Linked DNA regions of Stegostoma tigrinum. The protein of the gene in region 1 interacts with the protein of each later gene in a pairwise test. Links are inferred from orthologs where the notes say so. Each region holds a gene or a part of one and is shown on either strand. Other genes may lie near its edges.

Region 1 (10,328 bases):
CAGAAAATCCATTACTTCAACTGATCAAAGCTCTCCACGTAGTCACAAAATTCAAACAGGAATAGGGTGGCAACAATGTAGAGCTGATTACCACAGGGACTGGTAGAGGTGAACAGTATAGATGTGTCTAGAAGGAATCTAGGAAATGTGAGGTAGAAGTAAAAGAGAAACATGTTGTGAGATGAAGGAACATGGAAGGAGATTTTTGAGTAGGCCAGTTGGATTGAATGCCTTGTTTGTGCTGCAAATGCTTTGAACGATGAGGCCTTCCTTAGATTCATCTGACAATAAATCAGTTTCTCCCTCCTCTACTCCCTGAGCCTTGTCCAGCCATGACAACCTATCGAACATGTAGTTACTCAGGTGCTGCCTCTCTCCTACTTCCTCATTTAAGCTGCCAAAGGCGTTAATCTGGACAGGTAATTTGAAGCAGGGAGGCATTATGTCCGAATCACAGCACAGCAGCAACAGAACAGCTGGAGTCCCAGTTATTGCTCATGGGAGGCTGAAGCAACACCCTCTGTCTGTCTTGGCTGCAGTAAGCCATCTCAGTAAAGGCAGCTGGACCTTACAGGGTTTTACTCCCAACATCTACACCCTGGGTGACTAAACAACTGGGAAAACAGTTACAGGGCCAGATAACCAAAATCTGAACAGTATCCAACGTTACTGGCTGAATTCGGATTCTTACAGGTCACGTGGGAAGAGGAGTGGACCAGGGGATGGAGCAGAACGATTATACTATTGGTTTTGTAATCCAGTGGGCATGGCTAGTGATCTTGATACATATTCAATCTCACCATGGCAGTTTGGGGTAAACTCACTTAGCCCCCCCAGGTTCAGCTCAACAGGTCAATATCAATTTTTCAGCTCCACCTTACTTCATCTCAACACATCAGCAAATCCTGCTATTCCTTTTCTCACTGGTGTCTATTTAGCTTCCCCTTAATTGGGTCAACGTTATTTACTTCCACCACTCTGTGTTGCCTTTCCTCAACTGTCATTATCCAGTAACAAGAAAGAAATACATCCTAAAGTCCAGACTAGTCAATATCTGGCCTGTGCTTCTGGCAATGTGTCTGGGGTCTGCACAAGGCTTGTAACTGACCCTCCACCTAGTCTGTATACAGGCACTTCACTTCCAGCTCTGACACCTCAGTCTGCCCTCTTTTCAAGATATCATTGGTTTCCTGTTGGTTGTTACCGAGACACTAGTGAGATCCATATTCACCTCATCATCCACTTCCTCCTCTTCCTCTTCACTGGTGTCCTCGCGATCTACATGCCAAGGTTCACCCTCATCCTCAGATTCTGCCTCCATCACTACCTCAGGTTCAACAATCATCCGATGCCTGGCCAGTCTGGAGAAAGGGGAAGAAAAAAAGTCATCTTCCTGCAGAATAACAGTGCTCAAACATTTCTATAACCTTGTCACACGCTCAACACGTTCCAAGTTGAATTCCATACAATGTAATCACTTGTTTAGGTTGCAGCAACAAAATAAATCAGCAGTTAGTCTGTTTTCTCAGTTATTTCGTTTGAGGCATGAATTCTGTCCAGGACACCAGGAAAGAATACTGCAGGATCTTTGACATTCCTTGAGATGGCAAATGGGATTTGGTTAAACATTGCATTTGAAAGAGGACTGCAGCATCTGAAGTGCCATTTATCAATAGCATTGAGGAAGCCTGAGGTTTCCCAGAGAGTGGTCCAAAGCAAAGGAGACTGAGCCCTTGTAGGGACAGCACATAAGAAAGACTGTTGAACTTTAACCTCTGTTCCCTTTTTTTGACTTAATACCAGGAAGGACTGCAATGTTAACTTTTCACTTTGTTTCTCTTTGTTCTTAGTATAAGCAGAAAAATAAAGTTAAAACTAAAGTATTATCGATGTTACTACTTGTACCTAAGTACCTATGATTGTGACATGTGTGGTGGCATTACACAATTTTCACTGTACTTCTGTACTTGAGTACACGTGACAATAAAGCTTAAAACAAAAATCAAATCAATCATGCTAAAATGTCAGATAACAAAATGTGAGGCTGGAATAACACAGCAGGCCAAGCAGCATCTCAGGAGCACAAAAGCTGACGTTTCGGATGAAGGGTCTAGGCCCTAGGGTCTAGATGCTGCTTGGCCTGCTGTGTTCATCCAGCTTCAAACTTTGTTATCTTGGATTCTCCAGCATCTGCAGTTCCCATTATCTCTGATGCTAAAATGTGAGCTTGGCCTATGTGCTCAATTCCTAATTAGTAACAACAATTCTGTTTTTTTTAAGTCCTCTCACTAACTGAAGGGCACTGAAACTACTGATCAGTTCCCATTACCATCAATTGAGGACAAACATTTTATCCAGACCCTTCAGGATCTATGTAGCTCAGTATCAGGCAATGCGTTTAAGGGAGGAACCAGGTCATTTTCAGAAACAAATAAAAATAACATAAAACAAAGAATGGTGGACCTTTGAGATCTGAAACACAAAAATAGGAATAGCTGGAGAAACTCAGCTGGTCTGACAGCATGTGGTGAGAAAAGGGTCAATATTATGACTTCTGAAGGAGGGACACAAGTCAAAATGTTGATTCTGCTTTCCCAAAGCTGCATTTCTCCAGCAATTTCAATTTTTGTATGTCATACATAAAAATGATCTTGGGTTTGCCTGGCAGGACCAGAAGCTTCAGATTCTCTCACCTTTCCTCTACATCCTCAGAGAGTCGGTTTTGGAGACGTTTCAGACGAGGGTCGTTTGCCAGCTCCTCTGGCACCTCAGGCTCTGCCTCTGCATCCTTTGGCTTCTTCACAAACTGGAAGTCTTCCTCCTCTTCATCCGAGGACTCCATTGGCGCATAATCAGGTCGCTTACCAGAGACATAGCGCTTGACTTTCACTTTTTCCATCGACACCTCACCTGGCACAAAAGGGAGGTGCATTCAGCAAAGGCCATTACTACAGTAACCACAGGGTCATCAGCATTGTGATCCAAAGAAGCCCAGTTGCTAGCGCTCCTATTACAGTTTGGCCAAGACGGGACAAAGATTAATAGCACTATGGACAAGATGTCACAGAGAAGAGTTTAACAGAGAACGTGGTTGGCATGGATTGGCTGGACCGAAGGCTCTGTTTCCATGCTGTATGACTGTCAAGAGAAGGAGAGCACCTTAGAGGTAGCAGTGGACCAAGAATGAAGTGGTGCAAGCAGTTTGGCTGAGAGGGGTAAAACAGTGAGGTACTCAAGGAAGAAAAATTGCTTGAGGGATATTAAGGCGCAATTTGGTAATAAGGTGAACCAGGGGCTGCAGCAAGTAGCTGATGCAATTCCATAATTAAACTGTGAAATTCCACAAAGAAATTGGGGCATAGCATTTATTCAACTATGGTTGAGAACAAGTGCAGCGATAGGGGTCGCACTGTGTGGATCAGAGATGGCTGAGTGTGTTTTAGATTGTGTCTTGTAAACACTCAGTTACATGTTCATCAATGTAGCTCTGAGAGAAGGAATGCAGCAAGTTCATCCAGGTTCAGCAGTTCATTTTAGGGTCAGGACCAAAGGAACACAAGAGGTAGTAATGAGGGACAGGTGTTGAGGGGAAGGAGGGGCTGGACACTGAGGCTAGAGGGAACATCAATTTGAATAGCACACCAAAAATGTTTCAGCAGAATGCAGCTTTCACTGGATCATTGTATCCCTGTGTATTCCAGTCACCCCCAGCACTGAAAGCCCGAGGGAGTGGGTGCTCCTGTACCAAGAGCCCATGGGAGGGGTTTGTAGCTCCCTGTACCGACAGCTGGTGGGGGGGGGGGGGGGGGGGGGGAGGGGGTGTGAGGGTGTTACTTATTCCAAGAGCCCAGGGGATGGAGGAGGGGAGGTCTCTGTACCGACAGCCGGGGGATTCTGTACTGACAGCTGGGGGGGGGGGGGTGCGGCGGGATTCTGTACCGACGGGTGGGGGGTGTGGGGGGGTGTGGGGGGGTGTGGGGTGGTGGGGGGTGTGGGGGGGTGTGGGGGGGTGTGGGGGGGTGTGGGGGGGTGTGGGTGTGGGGGGGTGTGGGGGGGTGTGGGGGTGGGGGGGTGGGGTGTGGGGTGGGTGTTGGTGGGTGTGGGGTGTTGGGGGGGGTGGGGTGTTGGGGGGGGTGGGGTGTTGGGGGGGTGGGGTGTTGGGGGGGGTGGGGTGTTGGGGGGGGTGGGGTGTTGGGGGGGGTGGGGTGTTGGGGGGGGTGGGGTGTTGGGGGGGGTGGGGTGGTGGTGGGTGGTGGTGGGGTGTGGTGGGGTGGGGGTGGGGCGGGATTCTGTACCGACAGCTCGGGGGGGGGGGGGGGGGGTTGAGATTCTGTACCGACAGCTCGGGGAGGGGGGGGGGGGAGATTCTGTCCCGACAGCCGGGGGTAGGGGGGGGGTTCAGGGTGTTACTTATTCCAAGAGCCCAGGGGATGGAGGAGGGGGAGGTCTCTGTACCGAGAGCCGCGGGGGGGTGCGGATACTGTATCGATGGGCTGGGGGGACTCGGTTCCACTCACCTTTCTCATTGAGGACGGGCACGGCTCCGGCCGTGGACTGAATCGGCGGCTGCTTGGCGTTCAGGCTGAGCGGGGCGGCCATGGTTCGCGCTGCAGCTTTCAGAGGCCGAACTCAAACAAAACAACCTACACAACAACCACAAGATGGCGGGCAGGAGTCGCGGAGTGATGACCTCATCAGGGAACTCGCCTTATTTATGCCTTTGGCGTTTGACGTCACTGCACCGGTCACGCGTGTGGGCGGGGCTTTGTAGGTGGGCGTGGTTTGGATATGGGCGGGGCTTGTATAGGGCATTGGTTGGGCCACCTCTGGAGTACTGTGTCCAATTGTGGTCTCCCTGTCTGAGGGAAGATATTATTAATCTTGAAAGGGTGCTGAAAAGATTTACAAGGATGTTGCCAGGTTTGTGGGTTCAGTTACAAGGATGCGTTTTACAGGCTGGGGCTATTTTCCCTGGAGCATCAGAGGCTGAGGCTTATAGTGGTTTATAAAATCATGAGGGGCATGGGTAGGGTGAGTAGCAATGCGCTTTTTTTCTAGGGTGGGGCAGTCCAAAACTACAGCGTATCGGTTCTTAAATGAGAGAGGAAAGGGTTGAAAAGGACTTGAGGATACATTTTTCACGCAGAGGGAATGTATGGAATAAGCTGCCAGAGGAAGTGGTGAAGCTGGGTACAATTACAACATCAAAAAGGCAACTGGATGAGTCCATGAATGGGAAGGGTTGAAAGGGATATAGGCCAAATGCTGGCTAATGGGACTAGATTTACTTAGGATACCTGGTTGGCATTGACTTATTGGACCAAAGGTTCTGTTTTTGTGCACAACGACCTTACGGCTGTATCTACCGCACTGTCCAATAGTCATTTGAGGGTGTAAATGAGAAGGCTGTCTGCTGGTAAGTTTTATTTAAGGCAAAATTACATTATTATTTAAGTAATTTATGCCAAAAATGTGTATACCCCCACATTACATTTACATTGATGATGTGAACCTCTTAATTATCTATAATATTTGACCAATCAGCACATTCCTGGTCCCGTTTGGTGTCAGACGATAAAAAGTTTCCTGCATATAGAAAATGAACTGTGGCAGCCAGAAGGAAACCAGCCTGCTCATTCTGCTTACACTGGCTGAAAAATGAACCATTTTGCCGCACCTATTTTCTACTTTACCACATCTTCAGATGATGCAGAAGCTCAGAAGCTATCCAGATACCTGTTAATGTCAAGCTGAACCTTCCACCAAAGAAAAAGGCTATTCAGCCCACTCTGACTGTGCTAATAGATGCTCACTTATTCCCCTGTAAACTTTTCCTCTTCAACTAATTGTCCTTTAAACCTTTCGGTGGAATCTGACTCCACCAGGTCTTCCAGATATAAAAATCCGCCAAATATAAAATATTTCTGCTCATCTCCATTTTAGCTCATTAGCATCTGAGTACAAAGTTTACCTGATGGGATTTTATACCAAAGACCGGCTGACCTTCCCAGTACTCAGGAAGTAAGAAAAATAAGAAGCATATGTCAGGTATAGATGAAGTGAATCCCTTGAGGGGATTAAGGGGACCCATCACTTCATCTTTGCACCCTCCTTACCTCACACCTTCCCTTGACCTGGGCTGCGAGAATGGCTATTTATACAGCTGCAGTAGCTGCTCTGCATCCAAAATAGCCGCCCCACTGTTGCTATTGCCTTCCCTTCGGTCACAATAATCACTTACCCCACATCTACAACAACTATCATGTGGCCATTACTGCCTACCCTGAGCCTGAACGTGGCCTTCTTAATGGTCACCGTGGCCTTGCATACAGCCAAATAATGACCTCCTCCGCAAAGGCCACACTGTAGCAGCTACTGCTACTTCGGCAGTTACATAGTACACACAGTGACCGCTACTGCTTTCCCCACGGCAGCAATGGTGTCTCCCGTGGAAACTACTATTTTCATGACAGCCACAGCCTAATGGCTGCTCCACAACTGGAATGTGGGGAGGCATCATTAAATCCAAACCAGCGAGACGCCTGTGATTCTGAGCCCTGCTGTGACTGCACATTCACCTTCAATTTTTCTGGGTTCACTGGTCGCATGCCCCACCAGATACAAAATCGAAGGGCAGAAGTTGGCAGCCGTCATGACTCTTCACGTCATTTACCCTTGAGGTCTCACTGACAAAATACAGCATTCCCCCAGACACCTGGGAATCACTGGCCAAAATGGAGGAGGGGCACCCAGGAAGGTGCCCAGTATCTCGAGACTTGCCGTTGGGAAAAAGTGGAAACCAGGTGCAAACAGCAAAAGGAGAGCGCTGTCGCACCAACCCTTTGAGTGAGCACTAACTGACCCAAGTGTAATAGAGCCTGTGGTAGCTGCAGTGGTCTGTACAGCCACCTACATACAAACCCTGAGACTGAAAGAGAGTCATCCTTCTCTGCAAGGGACCACAAATGATGATGATGATAATGATAATGATGAACCAAAGGCGGTTGAACAGTGAGCTGTCAGGCTTCCTGCTGGCTGAAGCAAATCAGGAGAGCAAAAGGAGGATATGGGATAGCTTTGGCAGATAAGGAATCCAAAGAGATGCTACAAATTCATTAAGTGCGCAAGAGCAACTAGGAAGAGAATAGGAAACTTTAAGACCAACAAGGCCATATTTATGCGGATCCACAGGAGATGAGAGAGGTACAAAGTGAATATTTCACAACTGTAGTTACTGGAGAAAAATAGATACAATTGACAAAACTTAAGGAAATAAATAATGACGTCTTGAAAATAGTTCACTTTACAGAAAAAGAGGTGCTGAAGGTCTGAAAATGCAAAAAGGTAGATACATTTGTGAGACATTGTCCTTAGGATAGGGAGTTTCAAGACTAGGGAGCATATTTTTAATGTGAGGGAGGAGAGAATTAATAAAAGACATGAGGGATAATTTTTTTTACACAGAGAGTGGTTTGCATGTGGAATGAACTTCCTGAGGAAGTGGCAGATGCGGGCACAGTTACAACATTTAAAAATAACGTAGGAAAGTACATGAATATGAAAGGTTTAGGGGCATATTGACTATGTGCGGGTGGGTGGGACTAGTTTAGTTTGGGTTTACATTCAGCATGGGCTGGTTGGACTGAAGGGTCTGTTTCTGTGTTGTATGACTATGACCTAATCAAGTGTACCTAGAACATTGTGGGAAGCTGGGGAAGAAATTGCAGGTTCCCTAGCAGAGATACTTACATCATCTATAGCTATGGGTGAGGTGCCGGAGGACTGGAGGGTGTCTAAGTTTGTGTCTTTATTTAAGAAAGGCTGCAAAGAAAAGCTAGAGAACTACAGACCAGTGAGCTTGAAGTCACTGGTGGTTAAGTTGCTGGAGGGGATTCTCAGAAAGAGAATTTACCTGAATTTGGAGAGGCAAAGACTCCTTAGGAATAGTCAGCATGGTTTTGTGCATGGAAAATCATCTCACAAACTTGATTGGGTTTGTTGAGGACACGACCAAGAAGATCGTTGTGGCCAGAGAGTAGAAATTGCTTATATGGGCTTTAGTAAAGCCTTTGACTAGGTTCTGCGTGGTAGACTGCTTAGTAACATTCAATCACATGGGATCCAGGGACAGCTTGCCAATTGGACGCAAAATTGGTGGTGGTGGAGTGTTGTTTTCTGGACTGGAGACCTGTGACCAGTGAGTCTTTCTACAGGGTTTGGTGCTGGGACCATTGTTGTTTGTCATTTACATAAATAATTTGGATGAGAATATAGCAAGCATGGTTAGTAGGTTTGCGGATGACACCAAAATTGGTGGTATAGTAGACAGTGAAAATGGTTATTTAAAGAATACAATGGGATCTTGATCAGCCGGGCCAATGGGCTAAGGAGTGACAGATGGAGTTTAATTTGGATAAACGCAAAGCGTTGCATTTTGGTAAGGCAAAGTAAGAACTTACAGAGTTGGTGATGGTATTGGTAGACAGGTGGTGAGTATAGGAGTTGGAAAGTCATGTTGTGGCTGTACAGGATGTTGGTGAAGACAGTTTTGGAATACTGCGTACAGTTCTGGTTGCCCAGCTATAGGAAGAACACTATTAAATTGGAGAGGGTACTGAGAAGATTTATAAGGATGTGACCAGGTCCGGAGAGTTTGGGTAATAGGGAGGGGCTGGATATGCTGGAATCTTTTTCCATGGAGAGTAGCAGGTTGAGGGGTGACCTTACAGAGGTTTATGAAATCATGACAGGCATAGATAAGTGAATAGCAAAGGTCTTTTTCCTAGGGTAGGGGAGTTCAAAACTGGAGTGCATAAGTTTAAGATGCAAAGGGAAAGATTTAAAGGGGACTCAAGGGGTGACTTTTCACACGGAGGCTGGTGTGTAAATGGAATGAGCTGCCAGAGGAAGCGATGGATGCAGGTGCAGTTACAGCATTTAAAAGACATTTGGACAGGTACTTGAATAGGAAAGGTTTGGAGGGATATGGATCAAACAGGCAAATGTGATTAGTTTAGTTGGGGGAACCTGGTTGGCATGAACGAAGGGTCTGTTTCTGTGCTGTATGACTCTATGCTGCCGGAGGTACCAACATTCAGAAGAGTTTTTAAATTGTGGCCCATTCTGCCTCTGAAAGAAGGCAGAGCATCTTGGCAATTCATAGAGCAGCAGGAGTTCTCTTCCTGGTGTCCTTGCCAATACTGATCCCAATAGAAGAAAGTTTGTTTGATCATGACCATTGCAATTTGCAAGAATTGGTTGCTGTGGTTTAGATATTTGAACAGTGACAACACTTCAAAGTATTTTGGATGGGCTGAAGTCTTGACTAAACCAAAGAGACTAGGACTTGGGTTTTATGGCTATGGTGATAACCTGACACTATGATTTTTGCATTAATCTAATCTGCGAAACAAGAAAGTAACTGATTAGGAAGCTCCAGGGGAGACATGCAGGAAATAATGAATTACTCTCAGTAGATGGTGCTAGTAGATTACTGTGTCAAATTCTCACAAACTTCTTGTCAAATTATACACTCTTTGTTGGTAGAACTCTGCATCGAGTTAATATTGTCGAATTAATGTCGAACTGTCAGAACTTAGTCACTAAGTGCAGTAGTTAAGAAGAGCTAGTGCATCTTACATAACATAAACATAACAACAGTTTGCATTCATATAATACCTTTAATGTCATAAAACACTTCCTAAGCACAATACAGAAATTGTCAAATAAAAATTAACATTAAGCTAAATCTCAAAAGAGATTTCTGACAGATGACAAAAGTCTCAGCTAAATAACAGAAAGGAGGAGAAAGGAGCTGGAGAGATTCAGGGAGGGAGTTTTCCAAAGCATCAGGTCCAAGCGCCAAAGGCATGGCTGCCAATAATGGACCAGTTAAAATCAGGAGTGTACAGGAGAGCGAAAACAGCGAAATGTTAATATCTCAGGAGGTTGCAGACCTGAAATAAATTACAAAATTAATGAAAGGTGAGGACATGGAGAGATTAGGAAGCAAAAATGAAAATGCTCCCGGGCAGGAGCTGGGCAATAGGACTTGGTGTGAGTTAGGACAAGGCAACAGTATTTCAGGTAAGATCAAAAAGAAGTTTTTGGTAGCATGTTGTGAAGATAAATGGAAGTGGTTAACAATGGATGAAGAAGGCAGAAATCGTGACAATGATAAAGAACTGGCAACTTAAATCAATATAAATATGTAGAAGGGGATTCAAATCTTTGGGATTCTGTAACCCAGACACAGAGGAGGTTTGGACATTGAGTTTATTCATTGACAGGATCAACTGTCTTTTAGTCATGTATGGAACTGAGGGCAA
Region 2 (10,713 bases), on another chromosome or scaffold:
GAATGGATTCTGTTTCAGAAAGCTGCTGCCACATATAGACCTCAGAGATCTATGTAACAGCAAAGTAAAATACAAGAAAGCTTGCCACCCAGTCTCAGGCATAACAAATATGCAGAACAAACATTGTTCCTGCAGACACCTGGATGCTGCTTACTCAATGACGTCCCCACCCTGACATGCTCCCTTTCCCTCTATCACCTCCCTGCCTTATATATTGAGTTGTTACTCCCTTCAGTACCTGTCTTTATATCCCAACATTCTGACTTAAATCTAATATCCTGAGCCTTATTCCCATAGCAGGGGCCTCTGATAAACCCTTTGACTTTTAGTGGATGAACACCCAGAACTGATCATAACCCACCTTTATTGAATGCTTTAGCTGGGCAACCCTGAACAATGAGTGACCAGACCTGTGACTGATATCTATACAGCTCCATAACTGTGCTCCCTTGACTCCTAGGACAGGTCGCACTGAACCCAGAGGGTTGACTATGGCCCAATCCCAGTCTGCAGAAGTACTCCGACTGCCCACCTGACCGAGCCAAGCCGCTGGACTAATATTTGCAGCCACCCTCGATTTACGGTGCTCCAACCTACCACCCGCAAACTGAAGGGTGTCTCTCCTGGGCTTGACAGACAACCACCCCATTGTAACACAACAGCCTTCCTGCACATGTAAGCAGATATTTCCCAAATCAAACTGTTCATCAATGCTAGTACACACTTCTGAAGCAGATGTGTTTTGGAACAGAGGTAGGATAGTACTACATCTGTGAAGACAAAAAACCGAGTTAATGCATCAAGTCCAATACCTATTTGTCTTATTGCCTTCAACTACTAGTACTTAACACTCATCAACAGAACTGGGTTCTTGTGGTGCAGTGGTAATGTTCTTGCCTTTGGGCTAGGAGATTGTGGTTCAAGTTCCCACCTGCTCAGGAGGTGGTGTCAAAACATGTCTGGACAGGTTGATTCAAAATTATTACCATCAACAGAACTTATCAGTTACTAACAATAAGCACCAAAAGAAATTGTGACTCATCCAGTACTGAGTGTTGGGCAAGTGATCTGACAGCACAACGGTAGTAAAGAGCTATCACTGATTTACAGTAATCTTTCTTTCAACCAGCACTCTTGATAAACTGGCAAGAAATATATACCTCAAATACCGCGATCTATTGCAAAGTCTGAGAATTTAGGCCGGGAAAAAAAAATTATGTTTCGAATACTTACTATGTGTTTTTACATTGAATTGAGCAGGGGTGTTGATGTTTTTACATAGATTCTTTGAGGTACATTGATGTCCTGAAACTTCGCTTGGTCAAGATTTACTGCAGTGATGTGTCCCTCTTGATTATCCAGAATATTTGATCAATGGCCACAGTCCTCATCCTACATGTGCCAGTTAAATAAAGTTTGCTGAACTTGTTAAAGTTGGCCCTTAGTCACTGGATCATATCTCCAAGACATCCCATATAGATGAGGATGGAGGGCATATAACTTTGGAAGGAAACCAGAGACAACATTGCTGGGTGGGAAGAAAAGCCATTGATGGAGGTGCAGTCAAATAAGTGGAACCCGAGCAAATTTTCAGATTATCATGATTTGTTGTATTGTCTTAATACCTTGGTGACTGAATGATATGACCTTCATATGAATGAGCTGTAAGAATAGTTAAAGTATGACTTTGAGAAACCATAGCAGACAGCAGCCTAAACATCTTCAGCAGCAGCAGCATCTATTTGCCGTATGTTCAATCAGGCCTCCTTCTATCTTGCCCTTCCTTCAGAACATCACAATAAGTCATCCTATTGATCTGCCATAGATAATGAAATGTGACGCTGGATGAACACAGCAGGCCCAGCAGCATCTCAGGAGCACAAAAGCTGACGTTTCGGGCCTAGACCCTTCATCAGAGATCTGCCAGTCAGGCCATACCTGAGAAAATGTTGGAGAATCTCAGCCTGTCCAGCACAACTGAGTTAATTCATCAAGTCCAATATGACTTCCTCAAAACAGAACTTCTGAGTTTCTCCAGCATTTTCACATTTTATTCCAGTAAGCAAATGTTGTGCTTTCAGTCGTGCAACATAGGAATTATTTTCTGAAGAATAAACATGTTAGTTTCATAACCATGGGAGTTTAGAAGAATGAGAATGCAAGTCATAAAACCATGAGATGACCGGATAAGGTAGATACTGGGAGGGAGTTTTGTCAAGGAGACAAAAATAAGGGAGAACAGTTTAAGAGAGAAGCTTAAAACAGAGATGAGAAGATATCTTTTCTCTTAGAGGCTTGTTGGAGTATGGAATGTGTCACCCCAAAAACTGAGTTCTCAAATGTATTCAAAGTTGAGTTTAATAGAATTTTGATCAGCAGGAGAGTCAAGATTATACAGGACAGACAGCAAAGTGGAGCTGACACCAAAAACAAAGCAGTTGTAATTTATTGAATGGCAAAAAAGTTTGAGGAGCCAAATGGTCCTCTTCCATTCCTGGGCCCTATGTCCGTACAGCTTCTATTCTTCACTGTGTAAACTAATGAAGGGAATCAGTCCATGGCTAAAGCCTGTGAGATGTGGAACGACTGAGAACTTTCTGGAAAGCTCACCTCAGATGCTGGACGTCAATCTGTTGCACTTGCTCTGGGGGTCGGGAATAACGTGACCTGACTTTTCAGCAGTGGGATGATTTGAATGATTTGCATTTGAGAAATTTTCAGACCCACGTGAACATTGACCTTTCTGTCATGCTCTTCACCCCAGTGTCTTGGATGTCTTCAAGCCACTTCCGGCCTCACATGATAGGATTGGTACTGACGGAGAAAGACAGATGAAGGGTGTACCTTTAAGGGATCACTTACAGTGGGTAGAAACAAAAGTGTTTTTTTGATCCTGGAGAATTTCTAATCTTTGAAATTGTCTTTACCAGAGAGCAGTGGAGGCTGGGTCAATGATTATGTGCACGGCTGAGTTAGAGGTTTATTTTCAATTCATTCATGAGGGCATTGCTGGACAGACCAGCATTCATTGTTCATTCCTAATTGCTCACACAGCAGTTAAGAGTCAACTACATCGCTGCACGTCTGGAGTCACACGTAGGCCAGACAAGATAAGGATGGCAGTTTCCTTCCCTAAAGGGCATTAGTGAACCAGATGGGTTTTTCCCACAATCGATAATGGATTCAGGATCCTCATTAGACTCTTTAAATGAGATATTGAACTTGAATTCCACCATCTGCTGTGATGGAATTTGAGCCCGGGTCCCCAGATCACTACCTGGTTTTGATCCATGTGAGAGTCAGAGGTTATGGCCAAATTTCAAGAAAGTACAGGTAAGGCCACAGTCAGAGTAGACATGATTTTATTGATTGGTAGAGCAGATTTGATCAGCCAAATGGCTGAATCATGTTCCAGTTCCTTATGCTGTTGTAGCTTACTGTAGCAAGATTTCAATATCTTCTCGATCACATGCTTTTAAGTTACTGTCAACATTTAAAGGCATAGGGATGCTCAGACCTCTCTCTCCTGGGTTGCATGCATTGGTTGTCTCTGGTAAAGTTCATTCAGGTACAGGCAATTCCTGTGCATTTCTGAAATGGACTGCCTCTCTCACATTGGAGTGAAAAGGAAACAGAAAATTAGCTCCAGATTCTATCCTTAATGTAGTATTTTTTTAAAATTCATTCATGGGATGTGGAAATTGTTCTTTCGTCAACACTTAGTTCTAATCCCTGGTGGCCTTTGAAAAGGTGGTGGTGAGTTGCCTTCTTGAACTGTTGCTGTTTGGTTTGGGGGTTAGGCTGTCTCCTAGACTTCTGCAGGGTACTGCACCAGAAATGTGTAGCTGTGGAGTTTAGCCTCTGCACCAGGCCCTGTGGTCACTGGCATCACTATCAGCCAGGTCCAAGACAGACAACCCAGGTATGTGGCAGTGAAGTGCAAGATGCTGTATGTCTCACGTTTGGGGTCAGTTTGGGTAGGTTCAGAGGAGCTTGACAGCTACCAGAACTAGGACACGGCTCAGTGAATGATAAAGGGTACTTTTATCATCCTGATATTTGTTGGGAGTAGGGGATGGGGTAGTGTGGATAGTAGCACGGCGGCTGTATTGTGGAGCTCGGCCACAGTGGGAGGTAGGGTTGCCATATCCCCTGGGTTGAAGTCTCCAAGAATTAAAGCTTAACTTCCTGAACACTGCCAGGCAGTGGAAAACATTACTGTGGCTTTAAGAACTGATCTTTCCTCTCTTAACATTGGTATATTAACGATAGAAATATTGGGAAAGGGAAAAACAGGCCTGTACGTGTGGGATGGTTAGAGGACACTCCAGGAATGGGAAAGTTAGCAGTCCTGGTTAGAGGAACAGCCAGATGTTGATATTGCATTTGAGAAGGTGAGTGAACTGCTGATTCTCTGGGGGCCTGATGCTGCAGGAGTGAATCAGCTGAAATGGAAAGAGCTAAGGATTGGGAGCCGCAGAGAGCAACCAAGGCCCATAATCAATTCCTGGACAGCCAGTGAGAGGAACTTGAGGGAGAATCCAGAGGACAAGCATCGTCTGACCCGCAGTGAAATCTCCCTGAGACTGAACACAGCCTAGAGACCATTTGTGGATGATAGGGTAATCTGGCTGAAGTATTTGAAGGAAACTGAAAACAGTAGTGCAACAGCACATGTATTTGCAAGAATCTACAAATACAATGCAGATGTAATGTTGGTAAATGAGGGGTTATCACATGTGAGGTAGCAAAAACAGAAAATATTATTATCTGAATGGTGATAGATTTGGAAACAGGCTGGGGTGGGTGGGGGGGGGAAGCTGTGCAATGATACCTGGGTAAATACATCAGTTGCTGAAAGTACACATGCAGGTGCAGCAGGAAATGAAAAAGGCAAATGGTATGTTGGATTCACAGCAAAATAATTCAAGTTACAGGAGCAGGAACAGACATGAGTTGCTTCAATTGTGTAGGGTCTTGGTGAGATTACTCCTGGAGTATTGTGAGCAGTTGTGGTCTCCTTATCTGAAAAAGGATGCTCTGGCTATGGGATGCTACTGCAATAAAAGTTCACCAGGCAGATTCTTGGGATAATGCGTTTGACATTGAAGGAGGACGGCATCAGTTAACCCTATATTCACTGGCAATCAGAACAATCTGCCCCGGCGTTCTCAAGGCCCAGTTCTCTTTCACTCCAACACAGACCTGATTTGCCTTTATCCACCTTCCCCTGCATTCCTGAATACCCAGTTCCTCACCAGTGGATCAGACTCCCCTGCCTGGGGACCCAACAAACAGCCCTCAGAACAGACCTATTATTGACTTCCCACTGACCTTGTGTAACAACTACATCACTTGCTTGGCCCCTTTGCCACCTTGCTCCTTACCCCCTACTTACTTGGCATACTAAACATCTGGCACCCTACTTACTTGCCATCCTACCCCCCACCCCTTCCTATTTGACATTCCACATCACTTCGCAGCCTACTTCACCCACCTCTCTACTGCATCACGCACCAACAGCGTCCTACACCATACCCACTTGACACCTTAACTTCACACGGGAAGTACTTGATCTTTGACATCAGCTCTCAAAGTGACTGTGATTGTGGGCTTTTCAATGCCAAATTACATCTTACTGTTGTGAAATGTGGGCATGGAATTCCTTTTCCTGGGCGAGACAGCTACTCCTCAGTAAATTCCGCTCACACGTTTTCCAAGAGCTTGTCCCACAATTACACCACTTGTTTTGCTGACTGTTATCATTTAAACAGCAGGAACGCTCCTATCAGGAGTTGGGGTAGGCGTTGCATTGGCCTCGTGCATTCTTAACGCTCCGGCTGGGAGGACTCTGCCATCCCGGCATGCCGTGGGCCCGAGTTGGCACGGTCCTCCGGCTGGGATCACACAGCCGTCCCGGCATGCCGTGGGCCCAGTCCTCCGGTTGGGAGGTTTCAGCCGTCCCGGCATGCTGAGGGCCTGTTTTGAATGGCGAAGGTTCAGGGAAAGGGAGAGAAGACCGGTGCGGCCTGTTAGCGCCTGAAAGGGGAGAGGAGGGGCAAATTCTAATCGCTTGCACTCCCACTGAAATGTTGTAAAATGTCCTGGTAAGTGGCCCCCTTGCTGTCCGTGGTGGCAGGAGACTCGGCTCGGGGCCTCACACTTGGACAGTTTCTGCTGGTTGGGACTTTGGGGTGGGGTGGATTGACATTAATTTTAAAAAGAGGGCTGTGTTTCTCTGCAATTCAAAATTATTTGCTAAGAAGCTCTTAAACCAGTTCCAACTAACTGCCCGCGTACTCGTAATCAATGCAAGACAACTCGTCGTTAACAATTAAAACTCAAACCACGACCTTTTATGTGACTTTATGGTTAATTTTATAAATTCTGAAAACGCTTGTTTGGTTTCAAAAATTGGGGATGGGACTCTTCATCTCGTTTTTATCCTGAAAGACGCGACGGATCTTATTGGAAAATCTAGCTTCGTTTGGATCCATTTTGTTTGCCTGGCTAGGAGTGGCATGAAGGGAAATCTGTTTAAAAAGGGTAAAGTTGTCAAAACCGCATTTTGTGGAATTGGTTGGCAGGCAGATTTTTACTGTATGACAACTGGTGATTTATTTATAGCTGCTGCGAATGTTAACTTGCAAAGCTACCTTACTATTTGAACAAGCAAATCTGTTCAGTTTTTGAACCTGGCCTCGTTTTAAGTGTGAAGTTGTTACTTCCTCGGAATCCTGTTTTGTGGGATGCCTTGAGTTTTGAATGATGTGAATGGACAGCACTGAATGGTGAGACCTGCCGATAATGGTGGCTAAATAAACCTACTGTATCAATAGAATGTTCTGTACCATAAGACTATGAAGCAGATTCTATGATTTTTCATTCTTTTTTTTTCAAAACACTTGATAAAAGAGGATTAGGATTTCTAAAAACTTTTTATTTTACTTGGGACATTTGTGAATGTACCTGGTAGAAAATCACAGCATGGTTCAGATTGGTGATATTGTTGGAATTATAGCAAAAAATATTCATGCTGATCAAGACTGTCAAAAATATTGAATGGTCATTAATCCCATTGAAATGTTATACAGTTGTACAACAATATTTCATTTGTCTGCTTCAGAGTCTCATTGAGCTTTTTTGCATTAACATTTTATAGGAGAGAGTTATTTAAATTCTTCCTGTACCTGTGATTTCTAAACATCAGGAAGGCAACATCTCCAAACCACTTCATTTATGGCCAAGTAATATCAATAAACAAAGTGTTTGTGTAGATGTAAATTAATTATTACTTGTCACTAATAAGTGACATTGCATTAATGAACTTTAATACTTGAACTGCTGTCAGGTCTAGACAGTGAGTTTTAAGAGAGGGTTTCCTGATTTTTAATGTCTTCCACTGACTTGAGCACATCTTGAGCTACACTGACATCATTCGCAATAATGTGAAAAGAACACACAAAACCTAACCTTGTATGTAATACTATTTAAAATGATGTCTGAATCCTGAGTTCTTGTAACATCTTCCTAATGGTTAAAGAAATAAATTCATACCACATTGTAATTACTGTAATTGAAAATTGCAGATGTTCCAAGATGATTGCAATATTATTGATTTTAAATTCTCTTAATGTTTTTAAGAATCCTTTCTTAACCCCTGTTTTGTTTGAATCATTATGTTAACTTCAAGAGTAATTTAAAAACTGGGGAATGTACTAAGTGTACAATAAAGCAGGATTCAGAGCTTGGCTACATACTACTATGTGACAAATTTCCACTTTAAGATCTTTTTCAGTATGCTATTTTTTTGGTTTCTCTTTCCTGGTTTTGAGTGTTTCGCATCTGTTCAATTGTTTTACTAGATACAGTAGTTCTTAATGCAAATCAAAATACTGTCATTTCTGGTAATACTCTGGTCTCACAACAGACCAGTATCCGGGAGAAGTCATTACAAGCGATACACTATGACCCAGGAAGAAAAATGGAGAGGGAAAGAATGATGGAATGGGAGAAAACCAAAAAAAAAGTTTAAATTATACATTCCTAAATTCTTAAATATTTAGGACCTTAAGCAATGTGCCTTATTACTGACAGTAGTTAATTGTCAGTATCGGGGAGCGTTTACAGTTATAAATAACACTTAGTATGCTGTTGACCTATAATGGACTTGATAAAAGACAAATTTTACTACATCTGTAAAGGGTCTTGGTAAAACCACATCTCTGAATATATTTCATATATAGTAGGAACTGACGATGCTGGAGAATCTGAGATTCCTGCTCCTCTGATGCTGCTTGGCCTGCTGTGTTCATCCAGCTTCACACCAAGGTATATGAAATATATACAGTTAGGTCTGTTTATTCGGAAGATATACAATTATGTTAGAAGCAATTCAGAGGTCCACTTGACTCATTTCGCAGAAGAAAGATTGAATAGATTGGGCTGTACCCATTGGAGTCTAGATGATTCAGAGATGATCTTATTGACACGATACTGAGGGCAATTAATGAAGTGGATGCTGGGAGGATATTTCCTGATACGGGTGAAGCTAGTATTAGGGGGCCACAGTTTAAAACTAAGAGGACGCCCTTTTAAGTTCGGGGAAAATGTTTTTTCTGTTGGATGTGGAACACTCTTCTGGAGAAAGCAGTGGAGGCTTGCACTGAGGCTAGTCAAAGTGGGTTAAACAGATTTTAGATCAACAGTGCAATTGAGGATTATAGGAGCAGGCTGGAAAGTGGAGTTTAGGCCATAATCAGATCAGCGATGACCTTACTTAATAGTTGGGCATGTAGTTGCAGTACTGAAGCAGTGCAAGTTCAAATGCATTAATCAGGACAATATCCAGGCTTGGGCTGAAAAGTGGCAAGTAACTTTCATGCCATATAAATGCCAGGCAATAACCACCTAACCACCATCCCTTGAAGTTCAATCATTTTACCATTTACTGAATCCCCCACAGTCAATAAGCTTGGGGCTACCACTGACCAGAAACTCAACTGAACTGCCCACATAAACACAGTGGCTACAAGAGTAGGTCAGGATTGAGGCATACTGCAGCAAGTAACTGATCTCCTGACTCCCAAAGCCTGTCTACCATTTACACGGCACAAGTCAGGATGTGATGGAGAACTCCCACATGCGTGGATGAGTAGAACTCGAACAACATTCAAGAAATTTGATACCAAATGGAACACAGTGGCCAGCTTGATAGTTACCACATCCACTCCCTCCGTAACTAATGCATCTCTTAAATAGTACTGCTGCTCCTGAGCAGTACGGCAGGTTGCCAACGATCCTTGCCACCTTCTAAATCCACGACAGCTTCTGTCTGGAAGTACAAGGTCAGCAGATGGAGTTGTTGGTTTGGTGTCCCAAGCTGACTGGTTTTCATTCAGACATTTCATGTCACCCCCTTCTAGGTGACATCGTTGATGCTGTGTAGTCTCCTTTTTGAAGTTTTTTTTTCCCGGGTCCTTAATGATTGCTCAACATCCATCATTTCCTTGAATATAGGATCTCTTCCAGACTTGCTGGGACCAATTCCCAGGTGTTGACCTCCTTACTAGCCAAAGTCTGCCATCTGTTTAAACAAAATGCTGTTCGCAGGGCAGCTGTGCCTCTTCAAACCCATTGAATCAAGAATCAGCCTACAGTTAACCTCCAAGTCTGCCATCCCAAATAAGCAAAAAAGTTTGTTTAGTCTGTTCGTTTCCTTTTACCAGGCTGTTTCCCAAAGTCCACTCGTCATTAGTTCCAATCAAAGTTAGTAAAGTAATAGCAGTAAAAATAATGAAAAAGCAGAAAGGTTCCAATGTTGCAAAATTCTGGAACTACATTTAATTCCAATGTTCAGTCTAAAGTTGAACAACAACTTGTGCACGATCTGCATGAGAGCATTCGAACTTTTGAGTTGCTGCATGGCCACAGCGGGGATGAAGGTTTTAAAGCGGCTGCATACTTGATCAAATCACTTGAGTAATCTTTTGAAAAAACAAAGAGGCTCCGTTGTTTGGCATGCCTAAATTAGCTTTAGGCAAATTTTTTTAAGGTAATTGTTCATAAACTTTTTTTTTGTTTTTGTTAACCTATTTTTCTAATCAACCTGTTCAGAGATGTTATTATACACCTCTGCTGCAGGTGGGATTTGTGGTTCGGAGATAGGGGCACCCAGTTGCATGGCAAGATTCATCCAGTGTTAAACTTACCTAATATGGTACCTTTTGAATATATTGTCAAGTATAGCAGACTGTTAAATTTATTGTCCTGTGATGCCACTGAGTAACAACTAAAATAAATGATGCAACATTGCAAGCAGAATTACTGTGCAAAATATGATAAGCTGTTGATGCATTTCTATAGGCCTTCATTTGTGGCTTATATGTATCAATAGTTCCTGAAATAACACCTGATAGTTTTGAAGGAAGCACTGTATGTTAATTAAAAAGGAAGTCTCAGGTGACACTGTTTAATTTGAGTTTAATTGGAGAGGAACTGCATATTCAAGAATAGTGATTGAGTATGTTTTTGATTTTAAAATCATAGATTTATATTATTTAAAAATCAAGGAAATCCAGATGCTGGAAATGTAAAACAAGTGTTGCAGAAACTCTGGCACCATCTGTGCAGAGAAAACAGAAATAAAGCGTTGAGTCCAGTGACACTTCGTCAGACCTGAAAATAGCTGGGATGTGGTGGAGGTTAAATAGA

The links. The genes of interacting proteins can lie anywhere in the genome.
Region 2: the proteins of mfap1 (region 1) and katnbl1 interact in binary tests that used the Homo sapiens proteins (3 or more experiments, as listed by UniProt). The link is inferred for Stegostoma tigrinum from reciprocal best matches to the Homo sapiens genes MFAP1 and KATNBL1.

The regions. Positions count from the first base shown.
Region 1 is NC_081389.1:22,687,774-22,698,101, reverse strand, and holds the start of mfap1 (microfibrillar-associated protein 1), read right to left. Parts: upstream 4,685-10,328; 5' UTR 4,600-4,684; coding exon 4,518-4,599; intron 2,911-4,517; coding exon 2,694-2,910; intron 1,362-2,693; coding exon 1,232-1,361; intron 1-1,231. UniProt on the Homo sapiens protein: Involved in pre-mRNA splicing as a component of the spliceosome.
Region 2 is NC_081363.1:67,766,453-67,777,165, reverse strand, and holds the start of katnbl1 (KATNB1-like protein 1), read left to right. Parts: upstream 1-5,868; 5' UTR 5,869-6,107; intron 6,108-10,713.